Linked DNA regions of Oryctolagus cuniculus. The protein of the gene in region 4 interacts with the protein of the main gene of each other region in a biochemical or structural test. Links are inferred from orthologs where the notes say so. Each region holds a gene or a part of one and is shown on either strand. Other genes may lie near its edges.

What was found.
Region 1: the proteins of ATR (region 4) and RPA1 form a complex in vitro, tested with the Homo sapiens proteins (2 studies listed by BioGRID, with this or other methods). The link is inferred for Oryctolagus cuniculus from reciprocal best matches to the Homo sapiens genes ATR and RPA1.
Region 2: the proteins of ATR (region 4) and ATRIP form a complex in vitro, tested with the Homo sapiens proteins (4 studies listed by BioGRID and IntAct, with this or other methods). The link is inferred for Oryctolagus cuniculus from reciprocal best matches to the Homo sapiens genes ATR and ATRIP.
Region 3: of the proteins of ATR (region 4) and ATM, one has a biochemical effect on the other in vitro, tested with the Homo sapiens proteins (2 studies listed by BioGRID, with this or other methods). The link is inferred for Oryctolagus cuniculus from reciprocal best matches to the Homo sapiens genes ATR and ATM.

What each region holds. Positions count from the first base shown.
Region 1 is NC_091448.1:47,388,747-47,393,138, forward strand, and holds part of RPA1 (replication protein A 70 kDa DNA-binding subunit), read left to right. Parts: intron 1-327; coding exon 328-460; intron 461-1,584; coding exon 1,585-1,687; intron 1,688-3,261; coding exon 3,262-3,330; intron 3,331-3,476; coding exon 3,477-3,669; intron 3,670-3,809; coding exon 3,810-3,949; intron 3,950-4,303; coding exon 4,304-4,392. UniProt on the Homo sapiens protein: As part of the heterotrimeric replication protein A complex (RPA/RP-A), binds and stabilizes single-stranded DNA intermediates that form during DNA replication or upon DNA stress.
Region 2 is NC_091441.1:100,606,693-100,611,614, reverse strand, and holds the start of ATRIP (ATR-interacting protein), read left to right. Parts: upstream 1-1,913; 5' UTR 1,914-2,019; coding exon 2,020-2,347; intron 2,348-3,890; coding exon 3,891-4,021; intron 4,022-4,922. UniProt on the Homo sapiens protein: Required for checkpoint signaling after DNA damage. Required for ATR expression, possibly by stabilizing the protein.
Region 3 is NC_091432.1:100,091,732-100,096,123, reverse strand, and holds part of ATM (serine-protein kinase ATM), read right to left. Parts: intron 3,897-4,392; coding exon 3,783-3,896; intron 3,092-3,782; coding exon 2,874-3,091; intron 2,179-2,873; coding exon 1,971-2,178; intron 346-1,970; coding exon 232-345; intron 1-231.
Region 4 is NC_091435.1:139,335,963-139,340,354, reverse strand, and holds part of ATR (serine/threonine-protein kinase ATR), read right to left. Parts: intron 4,155-4,392; coding exon 3,999-4,154; intron 1,297-3,998; coding exon 1,104-1,296; intron 866-1,103; coding exon 603-865; intron 1-602. UniProt on the Homo sapiens protein: Serine/threonine protein kinase which activates checkpoint signaling upon genotoxic stresses such as ionizing radiation (IR), ultraviolet light (UV), or DNA replication stalling, thereby acting as a DNA damage sensor.

The DNA.
Region 1 (4,392 bases), on a different chromosome or scaffold from region 4:
GAACCAACGGATAGAAGATCCACCCCCCACCCCCCACCCGCTGTCTTTCTGGCTCTTTCAAATAAATTAAATAAATGCTAAAAACAAAAAAAGAGGAAAGTAGGGACAGTGTATTTAAGTCAGGAAGTTTAAGTGAGCTCCTGTGTACCTCACCTTCATTCTAGATGCCTTTTCTGCTTCTCTCTCCAGTTTGCATATCTCTTGGACGCTAAGAAGGAAAAGTTGTGCCTCTCATTTTGTGGGATTTCACCTGTGGCACCCAGTTGTTGTAGAATTTATTTTTGAAGTTAAATAGAATAATGATCATCCTTTGCTTTGTTTTTAAAGGTCCACCCGTATCTAAGTCTTTTGGTGCCTCAAAGGCATTTGGAAAATCTGGAGGTTCCAGTCTGTTGAACACTGCTGGGGGAACACAGTCCAAAGTGGTACCCATTGCCAGCCTCACCCCTTACCAGTCCAAGTGAGTTACTGCTGTGGAATGTATCTACAAAATAACAGAAGTCATTTTGGGTTCTTGAGTTATTTATGTGTGAACTTCTGAATCACCATGACATAGAATAGTATTCCTCTTTTTCTTTTTCTTTTTTTTTTTCTTCCCAAGGGGAAGGAAAGTACTAATTGTGGCAGCCTTTGACTCTCTTATCAAAAAGAACGACAAAAATAGGAATCCACCAGCACTTATGGGGTTTCACTCATTATGAAAGAATTTTGAATTAAAAATATGCAATGCTTAAAGAATCAGTTGATAATCTTGTGAGGAAAAATAAGTATTTGTGCTAATCCCAAAGGCATTTCATCATCTCATAGAAATAAATGCCTTTTAGCCTAAAAATTGTTCCTGTGATTTGGTTGGCTGAGGTATACTGTTTGTGTTAACCTTGTTAACTTACCCTGAACAAGTATTTATTTTAGATGACTTTTGTCTACTAAAAATTGAGCAGTTGAAAGTGAGTTCTCTTTCCTGAATGCTTTCCAGTGTTTTTATTTACTCTTCAGCGGTGTGTAATGTGGGGACGATTTTCCCCTGTGTCGCTGTCAGGTGTAGCTCAGGCCCCAGGCACGTACATTCAGGGTGGACACCCAGACTGGCTCTCGAATCCTGTGCCTCCTTTCTTAGTGGCATCTGGGCAAGGTCCTGCTGCTTCAGTGCGTTTCCCTCGGGTGGCAAGCCCACCAACACCAAGTTCTGCTGCAAGTGAGACAGAGTTTGACACCAATTATATCAGTTCCCATAATGCAAATAGTGGCAAAATATAATTGCTGAAATTACTGCTGTTTTCTAGCTTGGAACCCTTCATTGGGGGACATTGTTACCTTGGTAATCCTTTTTGGTAAAGGAAGAGAGCTTATAAATTGACTTATTTGACAGAATGAGTTAGTGTTAAATGACTTTACGTGTTTTGCTATTTGCTTATCCCGTAAGCTGTCAAACCTGGGGTATTAATTAGCTGGTTTAAAATACAGCTAATTGTGAAAAAGTGGAATGTGCATAAGATGAGAAAAGCCATAGGAAGATGATTTCTTTCTTGATCTTTATTCTGAGTAAGGCTGCAATTACTCATATATAATCACTCTGGTTTTCAGGTGGACTATTTGTGCTCGTGTTACCAACAAAAGCCAGATCCGCACCTGGAGCAATTCCAGAGGGGAAGGGAAGCTTTTCTCCATAGAGCTGGTTGATGAAAGCGTGAGTATTTGTGGGAGCAGTGGTCAGCTCTGCATGCCTGCGAGCGGGTGAAAAAGTAACAGTGGGCCAGAAAGAAACTTGACTGTCATTTTGATGTTCCCTCTGTTACAGTAAGTCCTTTGATACAGCCTGGGAGTAGAGGGCTACAGGTCATAAATAAAATTCTTGTAGCAGAAGAAATCGATTTTCCAAATGTGTAAGTAGCCTCCTGGGCAGGAGGAGCCGGAGCCACCATGTCTGATTTGCTGTAGGCTCAGCTGTGGCCTCAGATGTGCTGCCTGCTGATGAGCGAATCGGGTGCTGGGCCCCGAGGAAGGCAGCAGGCACTGTGCACAGAGAATGGTGTGTGGGAAACGGGTTCTGATGGTGCAGACTCTCGCATACCTTATGTAAACAGAACTGAGGGGATGAGACAGAAAGTTTCCAGGCTGTGGAATCCTGACAATCTTGGTAGCTGCCGGTCTGCCCGTTAGTCTGGCTTATCATTCCTAAAATGTACATCAGGCTTTCTTTTCCATCTGCTGCGTACTTCCTTCTTGTTCAGATCCCTAAGAGGGCAGAAAAAATGGTTTCTTTTTTTGGGAGATGGTAACACCCAAATGTTAGACTGTATGATGACAGGATCAGAACCAGACCTTAACTCTTTACAAATTCTGCATCTAATCCATGGCGCTTTGGCTGAAATTTCAGCCCTTTAAGTTTTTTACGCATTTGATGACTTTTGACTGACTTCTTATGAAAGTGAAAGTGAAAATCAAAGCGTCTGTAACTTGAGCACACATTTTTGGCAGCAACACCTGCCTGGGGGAAGCTGGGGAGTCATTTGGTTCAGTGCACTTCCCCGTGGGCTTCACTCGTGTCGATTGCGTTCAGAACTCTCTGGTTCTAGTTTAAAAAAAAAAAAAAAATTTCCTTAATACAATGGAACACTTCCTTTTAACATTAAAAAAAAAAAAGAACTCTGGTTCTTATTGACAGAATACTGAATTATTGGAGTTTTGTTTGTTTTGAATTTCTTTTTATTTTTTTTTTTTTCTTTTTTTGAGAGGTAGAGTTACAGACAGTGAGAGGGAGAGACAGAGAGAGGTCTTCCATCCACTGGTTCACTCCCCAAATGGCCGCAATGACCGGAGCTGCGCCAATCTGAAGCCAGGAACCAGGAGCTTCTTCCTGGTCTTCCACGTGGGTGCAGGGGCCCAAGGACTTGGGCCATCTTCTACTGCCTTCCCAGGCCATAGCAGAGAGATGGATGGGAAGAGGAGCAGTCGGGACTTGAACTGGTGCCCATATGGGATGCCGGCACCACAGGCGGAGGCTTAACCTACTACACCACAGCACCGGCCCCTGTTTTGACTTTCTAACCTGAGGTTAATAAAGCATGATTCTGGGTCAGCTAGTTGAACTTCCCTGTGTCACTTGGCTAACGGTTGGAATTTGTGCCTGTAAAAGGTGTGTGCCTGGAATGGCTGTCCCCTTCCCCACTTGCGTCATCTCGATGCCCACGGCCTGTTTCTCGCGGGTCACACTTGATGCTGAACATGACCATGCTGACCGGCTCTCACTTGCCTCTGCAGGGTGAAATCAGAGCTACTGCTTTCAATGAGCAGGTGGACAAGTTCTTTCCCCTTATTGAAGTGAACAAGGTATGGTAGTGCTGGATTGAGAACTGACCCAGCCGGATGGTGGGGTGAGAGCAAGGGGAGTGTGGTCCAGTGGAGCGTTGTGTGGTGAAGAAAGGTTTTTATGTCCCACCTGATGGACTGTGTACACTTCATGGCCTCTCTTGCAGGTGTATTATTTCTCAAAAGGCACCCTGAAGATAGCCAACAAACAATTCACAGCTGTTAAAAACGACTACGAGATGACCTTCGTTAACGAGACGAGTGTGATGCCCTGTGAAGACGGGCACCATCTGCCCACGGTCCAGTTTGCTTTCACCGGGATCGACGCCCTAGAGAATAAGCCCAAGGACTCACTTGTAGGTAAGTCTGCGTGTGAAAACAAAGCCGTGGTCTCTCACTGTACCTGCGGTGTGTAGGGACGCATTACTGTGCAGTTCTTGGTCATGTTTTGACGGGAGCCCTGGCCATCTCTCCACTGACACGACGTGCCTGTGTTGCAGACATAATTGGGATCTGCAAGAGCTATGAAGATGCCACAAAAATCACAGTGAAATCTAACAACAGAGAAGTCGCTAAGAGAAATATCTATCTGATGGACACGTCTGGGAAGGTGGTGACTGCCACTCTGTGGGGAGAAGATGTGAGTACTTGCACAGAGCGGCTGTCACACACGGAAAGCGCTCCTGAGGGTGCTGCACTTGTCCCCTGCGTCCTGGGGCTTGGCTGTGCTGTCCTTTTGCTCACTTCCGCCAGCTTCGAGTGGTTTACACTTTGTGAGGCGAAATGCTCTTCCCTGTAACTCTGGGAAGGTAGCCCCAGACTCGTGCTGATGTGTTCCGAGCAGAGCTTGTGGGTATGGTTTGTCTTGCATAGATTCTTTGTACGTTGATTTCACTCACTCCACCATTAGCTGTTTTCTTTGTTGTCTGTAAAAATGCTCTGTGTGTTCTTCCTGCCAATGATACTTGTATGTGTTTGACACTTGTTTTTGCAGGCTGATAGATTTGATGGCTCTAGACAGCCTGTGCTAGCTATCAAAGGAGCCAGAGTTTCTGATTTTGGTGGGCGGAGCCTGTCTGTCCT
Region 2 (4,922 bases), on a different chromosome or scaffold from region 4:
TCTTCAGTATCAGACTCCCCCAGAAGCCCTAGGGACAACATTTGCACTAAGGTCCTTGCTGGGGTCCCATGTTAGACCTCACATCCAGTCCATGAGCAAAATCAGATTACCTTAGTGTCCTCTCAGCGCCATGTGCCCACTGCAGCTCTGACCCTTCACCTGTATGACTGCAGTTGCCTCCAGAGTTCACTCGGGTCCAGAGCGCGCTTGCTGAACCGTGAGTCATACTTTGTTTCTTGGCTCAGAGTTAGCAACGCCACAGTGCAAAGGGGTATGGATGCCACTGCCTTATATGCATTACCCAGCCCCCGGTCCTCCTCAGCCAGCGGCTTGAGGCCAGCTCCCAGCTCCTTTCCACCTGCACGTTCTCATAGATGCTGAACACTCCCTGTATTCCTCAGAAGACCAAAACTCCGCCATCACAATAGTGAGCTCTCCTGCTAACAATGAGTTTGCAGTCAGTCCCATTGTCTTTATTTTTCTCTCCCAGTTATCTACCATCTCTGACTAAAATGTAAACGTTAGGACAGTGACCATAAGGTGTGCTAAATGTGGAGGTACTCCAAAGTCTGCAGGAAGTGGGAGTTTATTTTGGTGGCAAAATATTTTGAAGCCCATGATAGTCACATGTATTTATTGTATCACTTCAGAAGCACAAGTGCAGGCCATTGATGCAGCTATGGGACTAAAGCTAAGCTTTCTCTGAGGATGTCCTCAGAGAGGCTTGTAGGCTTGGCCAGGTGAAAACTGGAAAAGTGACAGATTAAACCCTGTCCTGTGATTAACGTAGTCGATGGTGACAGGGTGCTTTGGTCCTCTGGGAAGTTGCACAACTAGCAGCTCCTCTGGGCTGCAGAACATTTCCCATGGGGCCTTGCAAGCTGGCACCCCGCAGTGTGCTGTCAAAATCAGTCCTTGCACCGCCCGTGAGAGCACACTGCCTCTGAGAGCAAGTCGCTGCTCTCTGGCAGAATCTAATCCCTCCTGATGGGTGATCCTGTCTTTCCAAGGCCAGAGACCTACAGCAATTAATATGGAAGCATTCGACATTTGTGCAGCCGAGTTTCAGAAAACACGAAAGCCTTCTAGGACTTGACAGCAGTCTGCCCTCACAGGTATTGGTAGGAGACTCAGGCTCAGTTTGGCACTGAGTACCCAAGGTTTAAGAATCTTGCTCCTGTTACTCTCCGTGCCAATCTCCCCTGTTCAACTGCTCTGCGCACCGCAGCTACCACTCTGGGAAGCCTTACTGTCTGCCATAGATTACCAACACCTGGCCTGCCTTGGGTGGGGAATTCTGCGCTAGCCTTCTACCCCTTTATCTTGCTGTCTCCCACCTGACAACCTGTAGGACAGCCCAGGTGCCACTTCGGGGGGGGGGGGGGGCTCTTCCTTGACCTGACCCTCACTCATCTTTATACAACCAGTGCTTGTGACAAATATGCTCCAGCAATCTCCGAGAGAATGAATGAATGAATGAATGAAAGAAGTCTGAGCACTTCCCACACGGATGGTTCTCCTTGGACCTGTCTTCCCGAAACCTACCTCAAATGCCACACATTTCACACTCCTCGCCTAATCTCCCTAAAGGAGCCTCGGAGTATGTGATGGAAAGAGGCAGCGAGCTCTCGGGGGCCAGAACCCTGAACTCTGCCTGCCTCGATTCAAACGCACAAGGGTGACTGTCAGGGCGAACTGTCCCCCGCAGTTCTGTGCTCTGCTGGGCGCCAGGCAACCTCGAGGTTTCCCCGAAAACCCCCGGCGCCGGAGCCGGGCTCAGCTGGGCGGAGAGGGGCGGGGCGCCATCGACACTGGCGGGGACTCGGCCGAGCCTGGCGGCGCGCTCGGAGAGACGTCATTTCTCCGCGCTCGCGGGCCGGCAGCTGATTGGCCCGTGGGGTCGGGGGCGGTGCATAAGAGGCTGAGGCGAGTGCCGGCTCGCGGGCGGTTGGCTCGCCGGCGGCTTCGCGCTGCCGTGTGGGATTTGGCGTCTTCAGATGCTTGGGGCCGGCTGGAGGCATGGCTGGGACCTCCGCGCCGGGCAGGAGGCGGAGCGGGCCCGCAGCCCCTCGCCCTAGCCCGCTGCCCTCCACTGGGCACCCCCCAAGCAAGCGGGCCCGGGGTTTCCCTGAGGCCGCCGCCCCGGACCCTGAAGACCCGTTCGGCGAGCACGGAGACTTCACCGCTGACGACCTGGAGGAGCTCGACATCCTCGCGTCACAGGCCCTGAGCCAATGCCCGGCCGCGGCCCGGGACGTGTCCAGTGAGTGCCCTTCCCGGCCTCTTCCCCGGAGGGCAGTGCAGACCGCACCACATCTCCTTGACCGCTGTGGCTTCCGAACTCCAGGCGAGCGCTGCCCCAGTGTCCTGAACTAACACTCCCTTAACCTTCTTAAAAATACAGTAACGCCCCGATTGGAGCAGTTGGTTGTGTTCCAGGAGCTCCCTCGATTTGGGGGAGAAATGCATCTGGAATATCACTTGGAAATATAGAAAGCTAGGTTGACTTTTTTTTTTTTTTTTTTTTAAGTTAAGGCTACTCGGTTCTTAAAAGGTTCTAAGCAGAGATCCGTGGAACACATCTACCGGAACCATGGCTACCCACGTGCGAGTCTTTAAATCTGAAGCCCTCGTGCCCCTTAGCATGAGCCTAGGAGGAGCCTAGCAGAGGCAACAGATCAAAAATTTATTCTTAGACAAGCTTAATCAGCGCCACATGCAGCCGGCCTACCAATTAACAAAATAGGGCACATCCTGCATGGCGCTCGCTCCGTAGTTGAGTCTCATGCGGCTTCCAGAAAGGTTTCCGGGACATCTTGCCTCTGTAGTTGTTTGACAGGCATCTGAAACTCAACACGGTAATGGTCCGGAAACCCAGGCCTCCTGCAGCGTCTCCCGCGCTATTCCCGCTCGGCAGACTTGGAGAAGACACCTGTGATGACCAGATGCTCCCCCCGGCAGACTGTCTTCCGCCTTCACCCTACCTCTCTTTCCTTTGCCAATCCTGCCCACTTCCTGGGTCTGTCTCTGGACTCCATCCTGTTCCCATGGTCTCTGAACTCCCTGAGAGTCCGCCCCTGCACGAGATTGCTAACCTGGCTCCCCATTCCCTGTGCTGACTGCCTGCAAGTCAGACTTCACACTACAGCCAGAACGATCCTTGCAGAACCCACACTGGGCCATGTCGCACAGACAAATGTGAACATAGCTGCCGGACGTCCTTTAATAACTTCCCTCTGCTTCTAGAATGAAGACCTAAACCCTTAACGTGCGTGGTCTGCCCCGACTGCTAGCCACACTAACTTTGCCTCGTTCTGTGATTGCTCCCTGTTTGCTTCTAATACAGGAACTTTGCACGTTGCTCTTTGTTACACACTGACTGTTCTTGCTAGCCATCTGCCCTCAGGGTTCAGTCCGGCTTGTCTTTGAACCACAGCTCCTGAAGGCTTCCTGAGGGAAGCCTTCCAGTCACTGCGTTTGGCTCAGATGCCTCTTAGCAGAGGCTCTCCTCACGGTTGTAATTTAACATTTATTTGTGTATGAAGACTGTATCTGTTGTGTTCCCCATGCCAGCTGTATTGGCGCTCAGTAAATACTGCTAAATAACGTGACACCGAGCTCTGGCCGGTGAGAGCCCCTCACCACCTCTCACCCTTCAGTGAGACTTGAAATCGGGTGAGGATATAGACAGGGTGAAAAGATCCACTATTTCCTAAGTATCATTTATGAGTTTGAATCCTCCTCTTAGGTTGGGAATTCCCTATATGTCTTGCTTATAGAACTTTCTCTACTTTGCTCTCAAGATTGATTCTTTTCAGCATTTTCTAGCAAAAGTAGGAAAATGTTGGGTGCTAAATTATGTATGGGAACTGTTTTTTCTTTTCCTACAGGTATTCATAAAGTTCCCAGGTTAGATGGGATGTCAAAAACTCCAGCAGGGAAAAACAGAGAAAGTGTACCTGTTAAAGATAATTTTGAGTTAGAAATACTTCAAGCACAATACAAAGAACTAAAAGAAAAGGTAAGTAATTTAACCTGTGGTTTTTGCAGTTAATTCATTCACTTACGTGTTAGAAGACATTGTACAATAAAAGATAAAAATATGAAGGTTTTTAAGAGCATAGATTCACAGCTACAAAATGAAGAACACTGGGGAAAGAAAGCCAGAACATTTAGGCTGAAGAATTATAGATTGTGAGGTTGCTTAGAGCTAGGCGAGAAGAAAAAATTATGGGAAAGGTATTTGGCACAGAACTTTAAGATGCTACTTGGGGCCGGTGCCACGGCTCACTAGGCTAATCCTCCACCTTGCGGCGCCGGCACACTGGGTTCTAGTCCCATTCGGGGTGCCGGATTCTGTCCCGGTTGCCCCTCTTCCAGGCCAGCTCTCTGCTGTGGCCAGGGAGGGCAGTGGAGGATGGCCCAAGTGCTTGGGCCCTGCACCCCATGGGAGACCAGGAGAAGCACCTGGCTCCTGCCATTGGATCAGCGCGGTGCGCCTGCCACAGCGCACCAGCAGCGGCAGCCATTGGAGGGTGAACCAATGGAAAAGGAAGACCTTTCTCTCTCTCTCTCACTGTCCACTCTGTCAAAAAAAAAAAAAAAAAAAAAAAAAAAGGCTACTTGGGATGCCCGCTTTCTGTATCGGAATGTTTGATTTAAATCCCAGCTCTGCTTCTGATTCCAGCTTCCTGGTGAGGCACACCCTGGGAAGCAGCAGATGATGGTTCAAGTGCTTGGGTCCCTGCCACCCATGCGGAAGACCCTGATTGAGTTCCAGGCTCTCAGCTTCAGCCTGGCCCAGCTCTAGCTGTTGCAGACGTTTGGGGAGTGAACCAACAGGTGGAACATCACTCTGTCACTCTGCTCTTCTAATTAAAAAAAAAGTTTTTTAGAAGGAAAAGAAACATTTTATACTAAAT
Region 3 (4,392 bases), on a different chromosome or scaffold from region 4:
GAGTTGTGTGCATGTATATATGTGTGTGTGTGTGCATATACATAACAGTATAACACAGAATTTCATATTTCCCAGAGAGAAGAGTTGTGTGCATGTATGTGTGTGTGTGTGCATACATAACAGTATAACACAATATATATATAACACAATATAATATAACATATAACAATATAACACAATATATATAAATAACAATATAGTCACTATGATTTAGTTTTCAGGTTTACTTACATTATTGAGGACTTCATGAAATCCCACTCCTCCCATCATTTTGGTTCCCATTCTAGCAGCCAGTTGGTACATTAGAGGCAAAAATTTGTATGATGGAATCTCCATTCCAGGTCCCTTTCATTTATAAAAGGGTATAAAATTAATAAACAATACATTTCAAATATTTTCACAACTAAACAAATAAATTATCCTAAGTTATTGATCCTCTTCTAGCAAAACCAATTGGTTATCAACAAAACTTCACTATGAATTTCCTTGTTACTTCTATCTGAAAGGCTTTATCGTAAGTATTCTAGATTGGTTCAAAGGTAAGTCAAGGGCCTGCACTGTGGTATAGCGGTTAAAGCCGCTGCAGGAATCCCATATGGGTGCCTGTTTGAGACATGGCTGCTCCACTTCCAATCCAGCTCTCTGCTATGGCCTGGGAAAGCAGTAGAAGCTGGCCCAATTTCTTGGGCCCCTGCACCCGCTTGGGAGACCTGGAAGAATGTCCAGGCTCCTAGCCTCAGGCTGGCGCAGCTCCTGCCATTGCAGGCCAATTGAGAAGTGAACCAACGGCTGGAAGAACTCTTTTGCTCTCTCTGCCTCTCGTTCTCTCTGTGTGTTAACTCTTTCAAATAAATAAATAAATCTTAAAAAAAAAAAAAAGAAACAGAAAGTTCGGCAAACTTTAAAAAAAGAAAAAGAAAAGAAGGTAAGCTGAAGTATTTCTTTCTAATTTCAATTGTATTCAGAACTGGAGGGCCTGTGCTATGGCATAGCGGGTAAAGCCACCGCCTGCAGTGCTGGAATCCCATATGGGCGTCAGTTCGAGTCCCGGCTGTTCCACTTCCAAACCAGCTCTCTGCTGTGGCCTGGGAAAGCAGAGATGGCCCAAGTCCTTGGGCCTGTGCACCCACATGGGAGACCCAGAGGAATCTCCTGGCTTTGGATTGGCGCAGCTCCAGCAGAAGCGGCCATCTGGGGAGTGGGCCAGTGGATGGAAGACCTATCTCTCTCTCCCTCTCCTCTCCTCTCTCTGTGCAACTCTGAATTTCAAATAAATAAATAAATCTTTTAAAAAAAGAACTGGAATATCTGGTACTGCTTATATTCCACTGAATCTAAGGAGCATGATTATAGACACGAGTACTACCATAACACAGAATCCTGAGAAATCAGTGTACAATTAAATCCTTATATACCCTGGCCTATAGGATTTAATGTATACTTTGGCAGAGATGGGGCCTGTGTATTATGAGTCTTATTATTCTTTTCATCCAGGGGCATTATTTTACTTTTAACCTTCAAATTCACTGACAAAATCTACCTTGTCAATATAAACTTTACCATTAGGTGTTATCATTAAAATCGAAGATTTTTAAATAAAAATTTCTGAAATATTGACATCTAGATTTTTCTTTAAAATGTGTTTCCATTTATAAAAATAATTCACTCTAGTAGTCCCAGACAAGCAGGAACCCACTAGTGACTGATTACATTATCTTTAACTTCTTTCCAAATCCCTGCATTTAGTGCCCTCCTCTGGGCACTACTCTCCAGTGGTAACTGCAAAGATATAGGAAAAGACCTAAATTTTTTCATCTCCACAGAAACCTGTATCATTTAGAATTTAAGTGCTTCTGTAAAGAGACCCAATCTAATGCTCAAGATACAAAAGGATTTACAAAGTCCCTGAATCAAAGGGCTTATGTCAGCTTTTAAAGTGCAAGTTAGAATGTTGGGTTGAATAGACTTGCCTTCATCATGCCATTGACTTCAGGAACTCCAGAGTTTTCAAGCCAGAGAGAACAAAGTCGAAATACCCACATATCATGTTCTTCTCCACTTAATAAGCAGTTGATGTAATTTTCAACTGCTTTACATAAGAAGCGTTTGCGATCCTCTTTCAGTGCACGAAGTGCACATTCATCCAGCTCCAGCTCTCGCTGAACCTTTACTGTGTATCTTGCATTAAAAGTAAAATACAAAAGCCATTAAATTTTACATTACTACAAAACCATATATGATATATACATAACTGGGAAATCAAGAGTCCTTACAGGAGAAAAAGCAAAATTCTAAGAATTATAAAGTAAACAAACTTACTTTTGCTTTCATTATGCAATTCATAAGCTTTCCTAAGCAAAGGAGGGCAGAGTGAACTCTATTCAAGCTATTTAGTTAACTTATCCTCTACTTATGACAGGGACTCATTACCCACATTGTCATCTGCTGCCTCTTATATGTATCAGCAGGCAACTAGATCAGAGCCAGCACTTAAACCAGACACTCTGCTATGGGATGTGAGCATCCCAAGTAGTGGCATAACCCACTGCACCACAATTCCTGCCCCAAGTCTTCTGTTTTTAATTTCCTATCTATCTCCTTTTCAGCTGATACCAACTAACAAATTAAAAATCAAAACCCAAAAGCTAACACCTAAACACTACGTGAGTTTAGAACCAGATTATGAACACCTCCTCAAAGAACACATGTCAGCGTCTTACATGCTCATTTGAGATAACCACTGTGGGGCCAAGACAATCTATACGTATGCTGAAAATTATAATCAGATAAAAAAATCAGATCACATTTTTCACAGATAGATTCATTCAGTTAACTTGTGAACATAAAGTTATCACCTGTAGACATCTACTTACCTGTTAGTCTGAATCTTATGTTCCCTCAGGAGGCCCACTTCCTCTTTGGCCCTTTTTAGGAGGGCTTGCTTGTTTTCAAATTCTGATGATTTCATGTAGTTTTCAATTCTCTGGTACTGAGTATCTGAGAACCGTGCTAATGAGAGAAATGCCTTCATTTTCCCATTTCTGAGCTCATCATTATTTTCTCCATCACAACTTTCAGCAACTTCTACGGCCTTTAAGAACACACAATCCATTTAATTTACAAATACTAAACAATACAAATACTCAAAGTAATCTCATCCTCAAGTTTATATATGTAAAAGCTACATTATATGAAATCTATTATTTTCTTAGCCTTTCAAAACAACGCTGACAGTGAAGAAATAACCAAGACAGTATTTACAAAATGCAAATTGTGCAAAAACAAAGAGCATTATAAAATTTAAAGTTAATTACATCATTCTTTTCAAGTTATACTTATTTAAATCAGGTAACTATTTCCAAAATCAGCTAACTTAAGGAATAAGAAGGAGAAATCGGAAAGTCAAAGGGGGCTGAAGTACTGAAGTCCTAGCCTTTACTTGTGCGTGGTTGTACCACAAGTGAATAGTAAGGGCCAGCTTGCATGCTCCTTAATCAGCTATTTTTGTAGATGACAACATGGAGAAAGCATCAGAAACAACTTACGAAAGAGCAGCTAGTGGTGGGAAGACTGAGGAAGGGGAAGCCATACTTGGGATTTCTTTCAACATATGTTCCCTTGGTAAAATTCTGCTTACTTCTTGCCCTAAATATTATACAGAGTTCTAATAGTGATAACATATGGAAAAACTCATGTCTTTATTTGCTTTTGAAATATATTTGGACCTGATGCAAAAAAAATCAAGTATATTCATTAACTTAAGGGTTACTCTAAAAGCTCACCTTTTCTAGATAGGTCTGCATGATGACTGTAGGATTTTCTAAGCAAGTTTCTGCTAACCAGTTACCACAAACTCTCAGACATTCTGTGTGTATAAGTTTTAGCCTGGAATCATTCTGTTGAAAAAATGCAAAGTCTTAAAATATAATTCATTATCATGACTGTAAAAAAAAATGTCCTCCACGTAGGGAAAATAGACTATCAAAGTTTCTATGGGCTAGCGCTGTGGTACAGTGGGTAGGGCCACTGTCTACAACGCAGGCATTGCATATGGGCGAGTGTTCACATGTCCTGGATGCTCCACTTCCAATCCAGCTCCCTGCTAACAGCTTGCGAAGAGCAGCAGAAGCTCCTGGCTTCAGCCTGGCCCAGCCCTGGCCCGAGCCGCTATCTGGGGAGAGAACCAGCAGATGGAAAATCACTCTATTTCTCCCTGTCTCTCTCTGCAACTCTGAATTTCAAATAAATAAATCTTTTAAAAGAAGTTTCTGAACTATTTACAAATATTAATTTATTTGTATAATATTATTTATTTGAAAGGCAGAGGTAGAGAGAGACCAACAGAGATATCTGGTTCACTCTCCAGATGGCTGCAATCTGGACCACGGCTGG
Region 4 (4,392 bases):
AGAAGGTCTCCGGTATCATCAAAGAAAATACCGAATATTGAACCTCATGATATTAAACCAACCATCAGGTATACTCTGTCCGCCTGTTAAATCACAAAAATCTAGTGTTGTGGCTCAGTGGGTAAAGCCAACAGCTGCAACACCAGCATCCCATACGGGCACGGGTTCCAGTCCCAACTGCTTCACCTCAGCTTCCTGCTAATAGCCTGGGAAAAGCAACAGAAGATGGCCCAAGTGCTTGGGCCCCTGCGACCCACATGGGAGACACAGATTAAGCTCCCGGCTTCTGCCTGGCCCAGCCTTAGCTGTTGCAGCCTTCTGGGAAGTGAACCAGTGGATAGATTTCCATCTCTCCTTTTCTCTCTGTAACTCTTTCAAATAAATAAATAAATCTTTTAAAAAAATCTAAAAATCACTTCTTTTACTGACTCTGTGACATATTCTAATACCATTCATCCATTTATAAATAATCACTACTAAGCATTGAATCTATCAACAATGTCACTTGTTATCTTTTAAGGCCTTAGGCTAGTTCTAGCACTGATTTGAAAAACAGTTTTTCAAATAGGTTTTAAAATATTAAGTAAATCATAACGACTCACCAAGTTTTACTGGGCTAGGTATTTTTTTTTTCAGTAGGAAAAGGAATGGCTTGCAAACAGAAGCTTTTAGTTGAGAAGATGAACATTCGTGTGGGGAAGTGGCTTTCAGGTTCTTACAGAACAGATCCATATGTCCATGTTCAGAGAATGGTTCTGTTAAAGAACTTGTCAAATGAAACATGCCATGAAGGCTACAGACAAGCTGACCAAGTACAGAGGCAAATTCTCTCTTGACAATGTCAGAATCATCTTTGACTTTATCTCTGGAGAAAAAGAAAGAAAAAAAAGCAAACCTCTTGCTTAATTTTTTGGGTTAAATGGTCTTAACTTGGGACAAAATTCTGGTAAGACAAAGCTTATCAGGAAAACATGTTTAATCCTAAAACAAAAGCAACAATTGCTCTACATATTCAGCAATAAACATTAACGTCCTAGGTACAGCCAGAGAATTATGACCTTTCTCATCTAGTGACATATTCAAATTAAAATCTTAATACATACATAAGGATCTTGGGAACTCTGTTGCAAGAATTCTGCTGCTGTAATAAGATAAAAAATCCACTAATACAACTAGCCCGAATTACTTCATGGCAGCTCTGCAGGGCCCAGTTGTGAACTGCTGTTCTCCATTCAAGGAATATTCTTCTTGGAAACAGAGTTAGAAGAAACACACATCGTGACTGCGCCTGTGGTGCTGAAAAAGATTAAATCCATTAAACACACACACATGTGTGTAACGTCAAGTAACACTTAAAATACACAGAATATCTAATCAAAAGCCCCTTTTCAGAAAATAAAACAGGTACAGTGAAAAAGGTCTGTGCACAGCCTTATTAAGTAATCAGAGAAATAAAAATTGAAAATCATATACATCAGATAGAAAAATAAAAATTAAGATAGTTATCACTAATGACTTCTTTTTTTCTTTTTTCTATGTAACAAAAAATTTCAAAGCCTAACAAGGTTATGTATCAGAGAGGATGTGGAACAACAGGTACTCTCATATTCTATTAACAGAAATATAAATTGGCAGGCACATCACTGGAGAATACAGTAGAACAGAGCTGAGGATAAGCAAACTCTACAATCCAACAATTCCATTCTTAGTCTGAAATACTACTTCTTAGGGAGCCACGTTGTGGCACAGCAGGTAAAGCTGCTGTCTACAAGGCTGGCAGCTCATATGGGTGCTGGTTCATGTCCTTGACTGCTTCATTTCCAATCAAGCTCCCTGCTAATGGCCTGGGAAAAGCACTGGAGGATGGCTCAAGTGTTTGGGCTACTGCCACCCATGTGGGAGACCTGGATGAATTTCCTGGCTCCTGGCTTCAGGGTGGCCCAGCCCTGGCCATTGTGGCCATCTGGGAAGTGAACCAGTATATGGAAAATCTGTCTCTCCCTTTCTCTAACTCTGACTTTCAAATAAATTAATTAATTAATTAAAAAAAAATACTGCTTCTCAAGCTTTAATATGCATATGAATCACCTGAGGTCTTGTTAAAACAGTTTCTGATCCTGAAGGTCTTGGGGGAGCACAAGATTCTCTACTTTAACAAGTTCCCAAATGGTGACATCACCACTTACTGCTCTGGGGACTACACTTTCCAAATAGCAAGGCTTTGGAATAACCACATGGTCACTTATTAAAATATCCTTGGAAATTTTGCTTGCATTTATAAAAAAACTGGAAACAATCTGATGGCCTGCCAATAGGTGGCTAGATAAATAGTGTTTATCCACACACTTGAATACTATTGAGAAGTTTAAATAAAATAGCAGAGTTACATGTATCACTATGGGTAACTCTCATGAAGATAATATTGACCAACAAAATGGAAGTTATAAAGGAAATATAATTCTGTGTATTATTTAGAGATAAACATATATAGTAAAAGTAATCAAATATTCATGAGAATAATAAATACCAAATTCAGAACAGTAGTTATCTCTGCGGAGAATGAAGAGAAATTATCGGAGGAACAAAGGGGTTCCACTATATCTCCAACATTTTATTTTACTTTTTAAAAATAAAAACAAAGAATTTTTAAGAGACACAGAGAGAGACAAATAGGGAACTCTCATTCACTGGCTCACTCTCTGAATGCCAGAAATGGCCGAGACTGGGCTGGGCCAAAGCCAGAAGCAGAATCTCAGTGTCCTCCATGGGTGGAAGGCAGCCATCACTGTTATCCTGCAGGGTCTGCAATAACAGGAAGCTGAAGTCTAGAGCTGGAGCCAGTTACCACACTGAGGTAGTTGAATACGGGGCCCAGGCATCTAAGTAGTTGTCTTAACTGCTGACAACCAGTAGGTCAAATACCCACTACATCCTTAACAATTCCTTCCTTCCTTCCTCCCTCCCTCCCTCCCTCCCTCCCTCCTTCCCTCCCTCCCTCTCTCTCTCTCTCTCTTTCTAAGATTTTATTTATTTATTTAAGAGGTAGAGCCACAGAGAGAGGAAGAGTCAGAGAGAAAGGTTATGTCTTCCATCCACAGTTCATTCCCCAAATGGCCACAATGGCTGAAGCTGAGCCGATCTGCAGCCAGGAGCCAGGAGTTTCTTCAGGGTCTCCCACAAGGAAAGGGGCCCGGTTTCCCAGCCCATAGCAGAGACCTGGATGGGAAGAAGAGGAGTAGCCAGGAAAGAACCAGTGCCCACGTGGGATGCCGGCAGCACAGGTGGAGGCTTAGCCTACTACGCCACAGTACTGGCCCCAACATTTTATTTCTTAAACTGGGAAGTTGTTAAAAGTATTTGGTGTATTGCTTTCCTTTTTTTTTATTTGTCAAATATTTCATAATTTTATTAAGTAAAGATAAAGATATGTAAAAATATATTTCAAACTTTTATAGAAAGAAAGGAAATGGGATATCTTGGGGTAGACTTTCATTTTTTACTTTTTACACATATAATTCTTTTTTGAATTATTAAAAATGTACCATCTTGGAGCCGGTGCTGTGGCACAGTGGGTAAAGCCACCACCTGCAGTGCCAGCATCCCATATGGACACCAGTTCGTGTCCTGGCTGCTCCACTTCCAATCCAGCTCTCTGCTATGGCCTGGGAAAGAAGTAGAGGATGGCCCAATTCCTTGGGCCCCGGTACCTGTGTGGGAGACCGAGAAGAGGCTCCTGGCTTCTGGCTTCAGATCAGCACAGCTCCAGCCATTGTGGCCAATTGGGGAGTGAACCAGTAAATGGAAGACCTCTCTCTCTCTCTCTCTCTCTCTGCCTGTACGTCTCTCTCTGTGTAACTCTTTCAAATAAATAAATAAATCTTTGAAAAAAAAAGTACTATCCCTTTTAATTATTGAAAAATATAAATTATAAGTATTAGAAATGCTAAATAAAGTTAAAATAAATCACACACATTAGACAAAATTTTGTGACTACTTACAGTAGCTATCTGAAATCCTCTCACTTAATGCTAGAAGATTAGTGGCAAATGTGGTCAACTTCAAAGAGCCATCATCAGAATGAGGATAAATCCACGGAAGTGAAAGCATTCCACACAAATCTTCCAGGATATGATCTTCAAATGGACTTTTTACTACTGGAACACACAACAGGTGCTGTACGTTATATCTTTCATTTAAACCCTGTCTCCTTTTTAAGTAAAAACAGACATTTGAAATATCAAATGGAATTATAATGTACAAGCAGGAAAAAGGGATTCTTAATATAGAAATCCATGAATGTTCTGAAGTCTGTGAATTCAAAGACATGAGATGTCACTATATTAAAATGTTTTTTCAAAAGGATCACTGCATCAACAGATTCTCAAATCAGAA